Oreochromis niloticus: one gene and its partner. The protein of the gene in region 2 interacts with the protein of the main gene of each other region in a biochemical or structural test. Links are inferred from orthologs where the notes say so. Each region holds a gene or a part of one and is shown on either strand. Other genes may lie near its edges.

Region 1 (7,876 bases), on a different chromosome or scaffold from region 2:
TTTTGGGGCCAATTCCCAGGCTGCGCGCCGTGCTCAGCCTGATCAGTAGCCACAGCATGCCACTGCCGTGGGGCCGAGCCTGCACCTCACGTGTGTCTCAAGGCCAAGATAAACCGCCCTGTGCTTGGAACCACAATCCTCCCACTCCGGTCCAAGCCGCTGGGAAACTCCTCACAATCAACAAACACAGGTGTGCGATAATTATGGCCTGCCTTCTCAGATATCAGTACGGGCTTTCCTCCCCAATATGCCAGTTCAAAAACACTGCGGATGGGCCGTGGTGAACAGAGACCCACTGTGGAGTTCGGATATATTATCGAGAGCCCTGGCATCATTGTCAAGTATGGCTGCGGCGTGGGTATTAGGCCTGCAAGCAACACAGCGATATCCGTTACAGAACCACTGCTGAAAAAGTGCACAGCCTCAAGGTGCATCAGTTGAGGCACCTAAATAAATAAAACCCGTTCACACTGATTATAACATATTGTGATTCTCCCAACTGATGGGCAAAGAGGAAGTCAGCTAATGTCCTTCCCCCCCCGAAACGTGCAGTGAGCTAATTAACACCAGATCCAATTTGGTTTCGCAGTTCCTGTTTGCTTAATGTAGGGTTAAGAAATGTGTGTGTGTGTGTGTTGGACTTTTAAGGCTCATCAACCAAAGTTTAGCCAAATACAGCAGAGTCTTTCCAAGCTCTGATGGTTTACACTGTGTTAGTTTATTTGAATGTACATCTATACATCGATCTCTCTCCTCAAATCTTTTTTCAGTAACTTTAAAGAGGACAAACCTTATTCTGGCATGGCTTTACTTGAAGGCAACTAAGCAGCCTTAACAAGTCACCCAATTATGACTCAGAGAGACGCCCACTATTGTCCACCAATATAGTGGCATAGATAAATATCTGTTTCCAAACTTGAATGTATTTTGCACCAAGAAAGGCACAATGCATAGAGGCCAGATTTTAACACGAGGGAAACTAAACTGTACAGAAACAAGCCAAGATTTAATCCCAGGCGTCTTTGGCTCTGAAGGAGAGCCCATATTACATTCACACCTTTGAAAAAACAAAAACAAAAAATGGAGTATAGGAGTGGCTAACAAGACATGTTTGTCCAGCTCCACTAGTTTCAGTTAGGTCAACTGGTGTCAGTAATTACTCTAAAATAATCTCTCTGCAGCGTAGGCCAATCCATTGCTAAGCCTCAAACAATACAGTGTCATGAAGATGGAAAAAAAAAAAAAAAAAAAAAAAAAAAAAAAAAAGTACAACCAACATGTCCTTGCTAACTGAGCATGAAAGTGTGTCACTGGTGTGCTAAATAGTTTTAAAGTGAAGTGCTTCTGTTAGAGCATTTCATTTACTCTGCTCTTAACATTAAAACTTGTGTATCTAATAAAGTGTATTTCTAAAGCAAGTGCACAAAGAAAATAAGGCCAACACTATGGTACTTAAATCATGTGGCGCAACAGGGTTGGGTCATGACCTTAATTGAGACCACAGTGCCTAATATAACATGCAAAAGACAGCACATTTGTGAAGTCTAATATGGCAGTAATACTTGTGGCAAATGTGACAAATAACAACTGACTTAGCTCATGGTGTAATCCACTTATGACTGGAAAGGCTGTGGAAATATTTTCCACTTCCTCTCAAAGGTCTGTCTCTATACCAACAAGACACTACAGACTAAAGACCCTGAATAATGTACATGTGATGCTAATGTCTAAGAACTATACTATCTAAAAAAAAGTGCTGTATGTCCCATGATTTGTGTTAGTGTTAAAACCAGCCCAGGTCTTCTCTTGAAGGGAAACTATTGACCTTGCAATGACTGCAAAAACTGCTAATAATAGTATTTCTGTCCCAAAAAATCTGAGGGAATTATATTTTCCAAGAAGTGTGTGTGTGTGTGTGTGTCTATATATATATATATATATATATATATATATATATATCAGAGAGCAAAAACACATGGTTATAACATAATCTTCTTCAAAAATGAGGATAAATGGATCACTTCTAGAGCCCACTGCAGTAGTGATTATGTCCCCAAAAAACTTCCCTAAGAACCTTTGTGATGTTTTGTGATATTTAATACACTTTTATTACTTACTCTGTTTTCTTTCTCTCCTTGTTATCGAAGATTTCATTAAGATTTATGCACTTCTGACCCAGAAACTTGTCCATCCCAACCAGAGAGCGATGCATCACTATGAGGCAGAGTTCATACACTTCTGGGTTGCCCTCCAAAAGTAGGCCAGGTAATTCAAAGGAGGCTTCTTCCCTCCACACAGGGTTAAGGGTCTTCTCCGCCACTGATGTTGAGTACTTCTCCTTGCCCAGCTGGATGATAGTGTAGGCATCATTGGTGCCATTTTTGCCTTTGGCCTGTAAACCAGTTGCTTGAAGAACAGTGGCTTGGACATGGGTTGGAAACCACTTTTGAGACTGCTCGCCCAGTGACATTGTAAGCACCAACTGTTAACTGAAATCCATTCAAAATAAAGTCAAATATAATTTATGCAGCAGTTTTTTTCAGTGAGTGTGACATGCAAGAAGCAGCAATCATGATTCACTATAGTCTGATATCAGCGTTTAGCAGCACTTTCTACAGTGGACCATAAGTTTGACAAACTGAGCAAGTCTCATCTTCTGTCAGATCACAGATGTCCAAGCCACTGCTGAGTCATCTGCAAGAAAACAGAACAGAAAGAACCAGGAAAACATCATTATTTTTGCCAAGAATGAAAGCCTGGCTTATGAAGACACAGAGAAAACTGATATTAAAGCAGGCAGCCTGCTAATAATTTGATGGCAGCCACTTTGGAAGTAATACGGCTAAGCAGAAATCACATTTTGCACTGTATGATTTGCACAATATCTTTAAATATATGTCCCTAAGATGGAGGTTCAAGGCAGATATTGATGATCTCATCCAGTGACACATTTTGGTGTCATTGTCACTGAATTAGTGAGTCACTCAGTGGGATATAGAGCGACCGTTTCATGTATCATTTTCAAATTAGTTTAGACTGAAAATAGAGGTTTTGACTGAGATTAAGAAGCTGTGCACATATTCAAGTAAAGCAGTCATGGGCTGTGGCTCTAGATAACTCTAGATGACGCATTGATGCAGGTATACATGAAAGAAGTGGTGTAAGTAGCCATGTAAGTTACATTAAGATGCAATGTCCCTTTAAGTGAGCGTCTCTCCACAGGTTTGTCAAAAGTAAATATTACTAAACTGATTACAACAATTAAATGATGCGAGGCAATATTAAATTGTCACTTTTTCGTGAAGCTTTGTTAGGGGTAAATTCAGTTAAGACTGGAGGACAACGTTAGCATTATGCGGCTAGCTGGTGAGCACACAGAGAGCATCACACACAAGCACACAGCTTCTTACCTCGGTGTCATTTTCACCAACACCACACGGACATTCAGCGCTTCAGCTCGGCACAAACTCTTCCCTCAAACACACTCATGCGACACTTTCGGCTAATCTTCGCTGAACTTGCTGTTGTTGCAGTCCATTACTGCTCACTGCTGACGGCCAGTGGCGAGATTTACTTCCTAGTCTGACATCACTTCCGGCTCACCCCGGTGAAAGTTGAGGTGTCAAAATAAGGTGGTAGCGCTCGCTCGCGCGTTCTAAGGGAATTAGGTGAAAGAATATTTTTTTTTAAAAAATCAATGAAAGCTGCTTAAATATCCAAAGACGAAGAAAAAGTTGAAAAACAAAAACAAATTCAGCATAACCGAAGAATGTTCTCCATACTCGGTACTGGTGCTGGGTTGTGGGTGTACTGTACAGGTAAGCAGCAATGACAGGATATATAAATATGTATAAATTTCTAGCAAACACACTTTCTGTGAGATATTGTTGCGCATGTGTGTGCACAGCGTGCGTGTGCTCGCGCATTTTCTTGAGAGGTAAATCATACAAACATGGGAAGTGCTTTTGTCTCATGAGTGGGACATGGAGGTACCGATAAGGGGTTCACTTGAATGAACACAGACATGCTTGTCACCCCACTTGACAAGTGCATCTTAACCAAACACACCTGCCTGTGTGGGTTTTTATCGTTCTGCCGCAACCAGTGCAGTATGTACACACCACTGGCCCTAGGCTCCGGCTGGGCCATCCATCAAACTGAGATTATTGCACTTATCTAGAGTACATCTCTGAATGAAATGCTAAGGCTTAGTGAAATATTAGGCTGTACAAAAATGTGAGTCAGATAGCATTTAATACATTCGTGGATCTCACCCTCATGTTTTACATTAGCTGTTCCATTAGGTGAATATGAAAGTACAATGTCTCTTTGTAGCTGTGGCTTTAAAGCATTTAGAAGTGGCAAAATGTTGGCCATAGCCTGTATATCACATTTAGTCTTGGAAAAAAGGCTTTTGTGTCACCTAAAACGGATTTATACATAAAACATATTTTTTAAAATATAGCATATATAATATTTACATTTATTGAGGTTGATGTGCACCTTCAGGTTTGTTTTCTCTACAAACCTCTTCAAGTTATTCCTTTAGCTGGAAGATTTTTTTCAGTAAGGCCGGGTATGATCCACTCTGCTAAAAAAGTAACAATATGTATTCCACTTGCTTTGTGCCATTTTTTTAACGTATTCATCTTAAAACGTATTTGAATTTGATTTATTTTATAGCTTTAGAGACTTTAAAACCTTTGCTGTAATTTAGGATATTAAGTTTTCAGAAACAATTACAAAATATAAAATATAATAAATGTAATATTATAAAGCATCCTGTGTATATTTTCCGAACACACCTTAATAAGTACCCTTTTGAGGGGATAATGCATCTTTATCAAACTTTTTGATGTGTTTGTGTAACTAGTTTAGACGTGTGTAAACACATATCCATAATACAAATGAAATCCCACTCCATTTAGTTGTAGACCATTGTGGATATTTCTAGAAATTAGCAGGCCAGTTGTAATTTGCAAAATGTAAATTTTATCTAAAGACTCTTGAGTATATAGTAGTCAGTTCACTTGATTTAACAAAGTCAAAGATTATTGTCTGAACACAGTGTCTGTTTTATTTCTCTACCCTGTTTTATAGTCTATCAGCAGAAATGGAGCACAAAACCTGTAAGTGCATCCACACCACATGCACCAGTCACAATGTAAAAATCAGCTAATTTCAGATAGTAATGATATAAATATAATTATATAAATAATTATGCAATGCAATGAATGCCAGCTGAGATATTGCACTGCTGGATCATCGAGCAGTTGAGATATGGGCACATCTGTGCAGTTTTTTAGGAATGTAAGTGCAGTCACTAAATGTTTGGGAGTGTTCAGTTCTCACATGAGGGTGGAAGCTGTTCTTAAATCTGTTCGTCTGTGACATGATGGACCCGAAGTTTCTACCAGGGGGGAGCGGGTCAAACAGATGGTGTCCTTGGTGTGACGGCTCTTTCAGTATGTTGGCTGCTGTACTGAGGGAGCGAGAGCTCAGTAAGTCTCCCAGCGAGAATATAAAATTGCATTAGCTGTGACAGAAGCTTTTATCCAAGTGACACACTCCTATTAGACATTTGATGGAAGTGGGATTGTGCAAAATGTGACTGCAGAGCATGAGTTCTCAATGACTGACCCAGTGACGGGTTAAAATACAATAGCAAAAAAAAAAAAAACCCCACAAAGAAACACATCTTAGATTTGTAACTGTTTGATTTTAAGCAGGGGCAAAGTTACAGAAAAACAAAACCGCAAAAACCATTGGGAGTCTGCTGATTTTTGTTTACAACTCAGGTCAAGATCTGATAATACTTCAGTTTGAGCAATTGCCCTGCACAGCTGCTGGGTAACTTCCAAGTGTTTATGATTTATCCAGTCGCATCACTACTCACATTCCTTCTCAGGAGCACTTCACTGTCTGTTGTGGTTAGCAGTGTCAGGACCGAGCTGAATGAAATAACAACCAGAGGCATGCAGATAAACAACCAGGGTCAAGACACTCTTCCCCTTAATTTGACAATAAGTCAAACATTTTCATATATTACCCCCTTTATGAACATAATACCACAGTGCTTCTTCTCTGTGAGATAAAAACATGAAAGACACTGCATTCCAACATCACCTGTATCCTTTTATTACTCTCCTCTCGTGGAGAGGTGCATTTAAAAACAAAATATCACGCTATAAACTAGAGAATAGTAATGTAAGGACGCTGTCTACATTTTGAGGGAACAGCGCTGAAGGTCATAAACTGTCCAACATGTAAGTGAACCTTCTAGCATGGCCCGGTCCACATGTTGAACCACATTAGCTGTGGCCCCTAACGGCCGCCATCCACTTCCCGCACATGGTTCTGGTTTAGGGCCCTTTCTTCAACACTATATAGGTTGTATTACATTTATTAAACACTTAAAAAATCTCTGGCTGCAAGGTTGTCCATCTGTCGAGGACAAGAGAAAATATATGAAAGAGGCATGAGACTCGGCGGGGAGAGGGGAAACAGTTGTGATGTCAGTGCTGGTCTTAATGTGGTGCAGGTCAAAGTTCTGGACGGATGACTGATTTAAAAGGTATAGCTTTTAGCTGAGCGAACAGTCAGATCACAGATGAATTTTAATCAAAAAAGAAGGAGAAAGGCACACAAATCACCCCTGCTTTGCTCTCAGGAATGTTTTTGTGCATGGCTTTGATATATAGGTGCAGATGTGCGACTGCAGCATGACGAGCAGAGCTAAAAAGGGCCGCTAAGCTGGGGCCACATGTCAGCCCGGTGACTCCCTAAAGGTCTTGATTTCTACCTCATAACCTTAGAAAAAGTAAGTGAAACTAACACTAGAAAAAAAAATTGCATCATCCTCTCATGACTTGTGCTTTACACAGAAGTAAAGAGCAGGACCATGTAGAAGGAAATAGGTAACTTTAAAGCTGCGGCTCTAATCAGCTTTTTGATAACATTTGGCTTTGTCATCACATTCTAAACCTAGTTATTATAAACCAAGTATATATTAAGTTTACCATGTATTGAGCTGTGTAGAATTATTTTTCTTCATTTCCAAAACAAGGTCTTTTATGTAAAGAGGTGTTATGGAAGCTGGACTGCTGCCTGGAGCTATTTGATGCTTGTATAAACAGAAGAATTGTTGTGCCAGAGGGCATGGGCCTCTACTATAGTCTTGCCCTGTGCCCGGCTGTGTTTATGGCTGTCTTGTGTCTAGTTTGCTGACTTGTGGATTATAGTTTAGATTTTTGCTGTTGAAGTAGTTTTGCTCAAATGTTGTTTGTGATTGAAACAAGGGTCAGCATTTCCAAGCCCAGACCTGTGGTATACTGGGAGACACTGTTTTGACGCCACCATTATTTATGTTATCCCTAGTGTAGAAATTAGAGCATTGGTAGCAGGAGAGTCTCATTGCACAGTTAGGCACGGTATGAGCTTGAGATCATGTCCAGGCATCCAGGACTGTCATGGGGAAAATGTTAACAGCCGACTTACAACACATTCCAGGACTCATCTATGTTCAGTAGCTCTAGATAGTGACACAATGAGATCTCAGGGATAATTCTGGTATCAGAGTGCACTTCTGGCATCTGATGTCCTGGATGTGTCTTCTTAAAGATATTTCACCAATGCCCAACAGGAGGCAACCTTCAGCACTCCCAGTTGGAGGGATTTTACATGTCTCATCCTCAAGCACCTTTCTGAATTCAAAGCAATGATAATGTACCTTATTGATACATTTGCTTAGCGCATTGGTAAAGGGTTAAATCTCCTGGTCAGCTGTGTGAAGATTGCATGTTCTGCAATCTTCACATGTGCCTGTGCATACGTGGGTTTCCTCCCACAGTCTAAAGCAGTTAACAGTTAATTCTAA
Region 2 (7,867 bases):
GAGCACAGGTGGAGCTGCAGGTGAAAGAAGCCCCCCCCCCCCTCCCAAATACCAGATTACTCAGTCTGATGAGGTTCAGAGTGGCCCCACTTAATGAAGCGGACCACCGAGCCCAGGAGGAGGATTACAGCTCAGAGCTGACTCATAGACACACACACACACACACACACACACACACACACGTGCCGAGGTTCGGTCGGAAATCTGCGTCTGACTGATTCTAATCTGAAACATATGCTCACGCTGTCCTCAGAGCAGAGCTGCGACTAACGAGCTGTAATTAATCTCAGCTAATCCCGGCCTGCACAGCAGAAGACGACTTCTTCTGCGCGAGTCTCCATCATTCAGTCCAACCGCTCATCCTCTGCAGGGTGGCGGGGGTTGGGGTTGCATGGCGCCCGTCCTCGCTGGCTTTGGGTGATCACATCTAAACACAGTGGCTCAGTTTCTCAGACATGGGTTAAAAAGAGAGGTTACAGCAGAATGTGGAGAGGATGTAGACAAGTGCTGCTGTCAGCTGGTGGAAATGTTCACATGAATGAACTTCACTGTTTGTAAAACAATATTAAACATGACCGACTGAAAGCTGAATGAACTTCAGGGTTACGCCTGCACACGTGTTTTTATTTAGTTCTTACTTTTCAGTTTTTGTTCCATTCCAGAGATGGTTTGATTGTTTCTGTTTATATTTTTTTCATTGCAATGAATTTTTACGATGTGATCGGTATTTTTAAGACTGGAAGAAGCCGCTGCCCCTAATCTCGGGGGCAGGGATCCAAGCAGAGAAGCCCACCCACCTCCTCCACCCTTTCTAAGACAGCAGGGAGACATAATCTGTCCTGGTCTGTCCTGGGGTGTCCTCCCTGATAGATAAAACATAACACGGTGAACAGGAGGCGTCCTGGTCAGATGATTGAGCCACTTCAACTGCCTCCTTTCAGTGTAGAGGAGCAGCAGCTGTATCAGCAGCACGTACGGTCCAGCTTCACAGGTTTCACTGTTACTGCTGCAGGAACACAGACTCTGCGCTCACAGGTTAAACATATGGACAGGTGCGATGACAGGTGTGCACCTCTCTTCTGTCCTCTGAACATACCTACAGCCTGCCGTCATTATTTACAGTTAGCTTTTTAAAACGTAGCTGATCCAGCGTCCTGTCTACAGGTGCTGCTGCAGCTCATTTCCCCCTTTTTTCCAATTATGACACCTTTACTACGAGGTTTTCATCCTGAGACCAAAACCTGTGACAACAACTGTCTCAGCCAGAGTTTATGATGTCACTTAAATTAAAAAGGATGAAAGAAATGCGGTTCAGTGAAGCAAAACAACATAAAACAACACGGAAACTTTAAAATGTGATTTTAGTAAGAAGCTACAGCTTTATAAACATAAGCTGTGGAAACATCCCATCAACACAATCTGAAGCTGTAGGCTAACTTTAGTCTACAGAGTCTAACCTAACCTAACCTGTCAGAGATCCTGCTGTCACTTCTGCACAGTCCACACATTAAATTTTGCTTCAGTTCAAACTGAAAGGTCCAAAAGTCAAAGTGAGTTTGGTGCAGAAGAGCTCTACGACAAAATGACGGCAGTTAAAAATACATCTGGTGTCAGAGTCAAGGCCATCATTATCAGCAGCATGTAATAAAATGAAGCATCAACAGATTAAAGTCGGCTTCTGAGTCACTTTCTTCTCATAACAGCATGAGGAAGAAGACTCACTGAACTCCAGCACTCAAACAGCAGCACTCAAAGTTTTCAGAGAATGAAGCAGAGCCCAAGATCACAAAACAAAACAACCTGACAAGTTTTAATTCTCATCTCTCACAAGAAGATCTCAGAAAAAAAGCACAAAATTAAACTCACAACTTTTCCCCCTGCTGTAAATGCTGACGTAAGAAGACACTTTTCTGCCTGATTACAGTGGTTCATGAGACTGTACAGACTGAAGGACTACAGTGGGACTACAGTGAGTTCTGCTGCAGGAGGAAGCTCATTTAGTCTTTGCATCTCAGATTTCAGACAGCCTGATTGAGCAGAGGTTTCACTCAAGCTGAGGCGAGGTTAACAAGTTCACAAACATTCAAACAGGTTCCTGCTGAGTTAATAAAGAGTCACAGATTAGACCGGGAACGAAGCTCAGATTAAAGAGTAGAACACAACAAAGTCGAATCCTCGAATCAAAGAAATCCAACCATCAGAGGATGGACAGAGCCCAGCCTGACTGAACCCACAACACTGCTGAATCCTACAATCCCCACAATGCATTAGAGTCTCTCTGCTTTTATTCTTTTTTTATTTTGTTTTGTTTTTGTCTGAGCATTTTCTTCCTGTTACTCATCAGCTGTTTTATGTTTTTATTCTCTCTCCCATTTCTGCCTGTCGGTTTATGATGCTGAAGAATATTAAGCTGGAAGACAAACACAACAAATTTAATGATCTGACTGTGTGCATGTGCGTGTGGCTGAAGGATGAAGACATTAGATAAGACAATGACTTCATCTCTGATTTTCTTTTGTTGCTTATTATAGAAAATGAGCTTTAATCATTAATCACGGATGTGCAGGTGAGCAGATGATGGGCTGTCAGTGATCTGAGTGATGAATCATCAGTGAGTGTAATAATGCTGCTTTTCCAGGCTGATAACAGGTTCAAACTTCCAGCAGAAATCCAGCTTCCGGTCTCGCTCTGAAGGTTTATTCAACCAGTGATAATTCCCTGATCACAGAAACCGTCAAGCACGGCCTCACAGACAGCCTGAGTCCTGTGAACCACTCTGAAATCCAACACGGGTCCCTTTTAACTCAATCTGCGCCTCCTGCACCTGTCCGCTCAGCCGCACGCAAGACTCCATTCAAAAATTAGCCATTTTACAGTAAAGTATGCATTCTGTGGAATTTCTTCGGTAAAGTCTCTTTACTTGGCGTTATCCAGGCTTTACCTGTTCCTCTCTTACATTCAGCCCAAATATCCCCCTACCCCACCTCTGTAGCGTCAACATTTATAGCTCCAACGTTACTTCACTCTCCACTCGCAGCGCCATGTACTAATGTTCCAACACAAGTCCCAACAGGTGACTCATCTCTTTAAAATCTGAATAAACACCGTCAGGTAACATAAACCATGCTCAGAGTTTAGTGCAGGTGAGACCTGAGCGGCTAAAGGCGACGCAAGTGACGGGGTTCGGGCTGGAGCTGCTCCAGCAGGTGCGCGTCTGTTTTCCAGGTGAAAAGTAAACTCACCTTCGTGTACAGCTCGTTCACGGACATTGTGCCTTCCCGGTGGATCAAACTACACTAACAAGCTCCTCTTGTGCCCATTAATGATCCATTAGAGTCCCTCTGCGCTCCGGTTCGGTCCTAAACCAGCAGAGACCTTCCAGTGCGCATGCCCCGCAGCAGGTGTCTGGCCGAGTTTCGGTCACTTTGTTCGGTGTAGTGTCGGTCCGAAGGAGCACGCTCCCGCTGGTGTTTCCTCCGGTAAAAACGAACCCTCGGATACTTTAGGGTAAACTCAGAGCCGATGAAAAGTGTTAGAACCGGAAGAAGGATCCCGAAATCCAGAAAAACGGAAACGAAAAGCCTGAAGCGACCCGCAGGTGGAGGGAGGAGGCCGGTTCTTCCTGACAGCCGTGTTTTCCCCACACTGCCCGCTGATTGGCTGATCCCTGGCTCCAAGCCAGGTTTCAACCACACACACACACGACGCGGGGTGCTTCAACGTGAGGCGTGGCGCCCCACAGAGGGTCCTGAGAGAAACCTGAGGGGTCCTTTTTTTAAAAAAATTCCCAAGTTAACATTTTATTTGAATTTCTGTGAATACCAACCCTGTAAAAGCATCAACACTATGTCAGCCTCTCCAAAATTCACTGCCTCACACAGTCAGATCTGGTACAGATAGCTCACCACTGTTCAGAAATTAGGAAGCCTTGCAAAATATTCTGAACTAATTAATACAAGACTGATTGTGTTTGTGGATCCAGTGGAAAACGGCAGCAATTCCACTGCCTGTTTATTCCAGTATATAGAATTATTTGTGTGGGTCTAAGTGAACAGAGCTAAACCGCTAAAATAATCACTCCTAGCTGCTTCTCTAAACTCTGAAAGTCCGAATTTTATTTCACTTATTGCAAATCCAGCGTCAATCATGTGTATGAACTGTAATAAAACAACATATATGACTTTCAGTCTTTCTCACAGTAATTCAGAGCGCCATATATGGAGCAGGAAGACCCCACAGTGGGAATCCTCCAACATATGAGAAGCTCATTGGTAACATACATACATAAAACAAAAACATACTTTTGTCTGCCTGCTCTCCAATATTCTTCCACTCTTCACCAAACTTTGTATATATTATAATCAATGACCTCTAAAAACCTAAAACTTCTTTTCTGTGATTGGCTGACACACCTTTGTGGGTGTGGCCACTTTAACGGTCAAACTGCTGTAACTCTTTAATGTTTTATCTAGTTACAACCAAATCTGTTTATAAAGGTCAATATTATAAATACAAACTGCTGACCTTGTACCACTTTTACCACTAAGTGCAAGGGTTTATTTATTAAGCAATAATAAATAAAACTATATAAACCACAATTAGTCAAATATATTTAAAAAACGTTAAAAATATAAGTAAAAATAACCAAAATTAGCTGTCTAAGTAAGCATTGCAAAATATTGGAATTGTGGTGCTGTCACAATAGCACCATCATTTGGTTGATTAGAGAACTACCCTCAGAGGAACTTACATTTTTCTATTTTTAATCTTTCTTTTGTTTGTTGATTATGTTTTCTTGAAGGCTCGGAGTGACAACTAGAATGTCAAACAATCAGTCACAAAGAGAAGACAAACAGACATGAAAGCAAACAGGCTGCACACTGTGAGAATTAATCATTTAACGCTCGTCCACGCCTCCTCACCTCACAGCATTCATCCAAACGTGTCGTGTCATTCTTTCCACACCTTAAGCTTTGTTCCACTTCAACTCTTTGTGTTTAAATTGACCACAAAAACTGAATGCAGTGGAACCAGAAAGAGGCCAGACCAATCAAAGCTGCAATAATGAGGTGGGATGTAAAGAAATCCTGTGTTAACACCTGGTTTGTACTTAAGAATTTTTATGTTTCTTTCTATTTTTAAATGCAAATCATGTACTTTATAAATCCATTTATTTTACAGTAGGAGTTACACTGTAGGCTGAAACCAGCAAACATGTCACATGTTACACCTTAATCCGATGTAACCTGTGCATGTCAGTTAGCCTGCAAGGACAGCCGTTAAAAAACAAAAAAAAACAAAAGCAAAACACTATTAAATGTTATTTTGGGATAAAGTCCTCAGACTTGGTGACCACTGACGTAGAATTTATTACTGTTGACTCAGTCTTTTAAATAACTGCCAGGAGGCATTTCCTAGTCTGTGGCAAGATGAAGTGTCAGCCTGCACAGCTGCAGTTCCTCTAATGACCACTTGAGACTCCAACGCTGAGTCAGTCCCCATAGTCTCCCATGTTAAAATGTTCGGCTTTACTGCAGAAATAACATGTTTGCAGGCTGATACAGGAAACTGTTTTGTTACTATAACCTATTTCTCCCTTGTTGACTTTGTGAAGATTGTTGGGTTTGATCTAATTATTACAGTTTGCATTATTATGGTGGTGAGAGGTGGCTGTAGCTGCCGCGTTCGTGCTGCTGGAGGCAATTATCTGACCAATATCATGGTTGCTGTGAGTTTAACTATTGTCACAGATCGGCAGAGAAGTCTGAGCTCCAGTTTTAGTAAAATTCTAGGAATGTAACTTGGTGCTAACATGCTAGCTAGCATTGGGTGGTCAGTTTGCACTCCGCCACCTCGTCTAAATGTGGTCACTCCAGAAACAAAAAACTAACACAGCAGGATTCAAAACCAAAGGGTGCCTAAAACTAGTCTGTGCATGAGACTTTGTAGACATAAATCTAAAAATACGAATCTGGAGAGAAATTATGCCTTGTTATTACAGATGAAGCTACACAGCAGCATAGAAAGTAAACAAGCTCCAGTCGTATTATTAAAAATACAGTGCTTTTGCTTAGATGATATTAATACTTCATCACTAAAAGAGCACTACGCTCTGCTTCAAGATTTTGGGTCTCTTTCACTGTTAATGTTTTGCTTCAGTGCAGTAAGACTCCATCCAGCTGCACTATGGGAAATGTAGGATTTTTGGCTGCTTTCTTTGTGTCTCATCCAGGCCTCTAAGAATCCTTCCAACTAACTAATTTATCCTTTTCTCTTCAGACATGTTGATAAATCTCTCACAAACACAGTCAAACTAAAAATTCTATCGAGCCAGAAAAAGTAGATATTTGACCTTCATGCTCCACCACCCATCACATTTTTTATTTCCTGTAATAGCTCCTCACAGACATAAAATTTGAAAGTATAAAGCTGGTTTTACATAAAATGTTCTCATGTAAGTCAGACTTTTCCTTCTGATAACACATCAGTAAAGTGTGTCTGTTATCAGAGATGTTGTGTAATGCCGACAGGCTGAACGTTATAGAGAATATTTTGTGTGAACATTAACCACAGATATGAGCTCTTACAGCAAGTACAGAGGCGATAACGGGTCCTTTACCTTGGAGTAGGGGTAATAATCTCCACTCATCCTCTCCGGCTGATAAATAGATCCTCATGTGCTGAAGGAAGCTGCATCAGATCCTGTGACAGTGATTGTGGGAAGCAGCAGCTCATCTCAGACCTGTCTGAGCACAGCTATTATTCTTACTCAGCTAATGAGTCCACTCCCAAACCACTCCTTCTGCTGGTATGAGGTGTTTACCTGCACATGAATCTGACAAGACGCCGGTCCACCCACAACAGGCTTTATCACGCTGCCACAGCCGTGAAGGCTGTGAAACACAGGCGTGAAAAAGAACAACAGAGAACTTCAACAGGCTGCACACGGAAGAAGAAATCTCACCAGAGGCTGACAGACCTGTGATTTTCATTAATGTTCCTGAACCTGTGCTCCTCTGACATCAGTGAAATATAATGTGGCACAAGCATTCATATCACTGTTTTCCAGCTCTTTGTTTCATGCTTGGGAACAGAGGAGCTGTGCACGATTAACAGTTCAAAATAATCTTTATTGGTGCTGCACAAATCACCGTTCAGTCCTGTGGTCAGTCTTTGCAATAGAGACACAGTTAGTTACACAAGAAAATGGACAGCATAAACATGTAAGCATTTTTTTTATTCTTTGACTCTACAAGGGTAGCTGTGCATGATTCAGAGATTTGGATGAGCTGATTTCTTTCACCAGTTTTCAGAGGTGTGCTGAGGGACAGCAACAAGTGTTTAAAGCTTACTTCTTAGGAATTTGGCAGCTGCCATGTTACTTTCTGTGGGACCAGAAGCGACCATATTTGGAGGAAAGGGTGGAGTTTCAAGAAAAATTCACAGAGGTCAGAGATCAGGTGAGCAGTAGACTCATTTTGTCAAAGACTTCTATTCAGTCAGACTCCCTTTTTGACTTCTTTTTCCTGCATAGTAGGAGGAGTGCAAGACTTCACTTTACTGACCTAGATGCTGTGTCCATCTTTGATATACAGTTTATGTTTGGTTTACAAACACGATCAGGTGAAATAAAGATGAACTGAAATAAATGAAAATATTAAGTGAATATGTTATTCAGGTGATTTCAGGTCTGCAGAGACCGTTTTTTTTTAAGTCATTTTGACCTTCAGGTGATTGTTTTGCTATTTCTCAGCATTCTTAAAAAAACAAAAACAAAACACTGTGGTCATGCTGAGGTGTTCATGTTATTCTGTCCATCCCACCTCCAGCTATGATGTAATGATGAAATGATGCAGAGTTTATTTGT

Evidence for each region.
Region 1: the proteins of myo5b (region 2) and rab11fip2 form a complex in vitro, tested with the Homo sapiens proteins (2 studies listed by BioGRID). The link is inferred for Oreochromis niloticus from reciprocal best matches to the Homo sapiens genes MYO5B and RAB11FIP2.

Annotation. Positions count from the first base shown.
Region 1 is NC_031978.2:25,621,986-25,629,861, reverse strand, and holds the start of rab11fip2 (rab11 family-interacting protein 2), read right to left. Parts: upstream 3,604-7,876; 5' UTR 3,411-3,603; intron 2,695-3,410; 5' UTR 2,471-2,694; coding exon 2,118-2,470; intron 1-2,117. UniProt on the Homo sapiens protein: A Rab11 effector binding preferentially phosphatidylinositol 3,4,5-trisphosphate (PtdInsP3) and phosphatidic acid (PA) and acting in the regulation of the transport of vesicles from the endosomal recycling compartment (ERC) to the plasma membrane.
Region 2 is NC_031972.2:36,569,120-36,576,986, forward strand, and holds the start of myo5b (unconventional myosin-Vb), read right to left. Parts: upstream 3,662-7,867; 5' UTR 3,270-3,661; coding exon 3,243-3,269; intron 1-3,242. UniProt on the Homo sapiens protein: May be involved in vesicular trafficking via its association with the CART complex. The CART complex is necessary for efficient transferrin receptor recycling but not for EGFR degradation.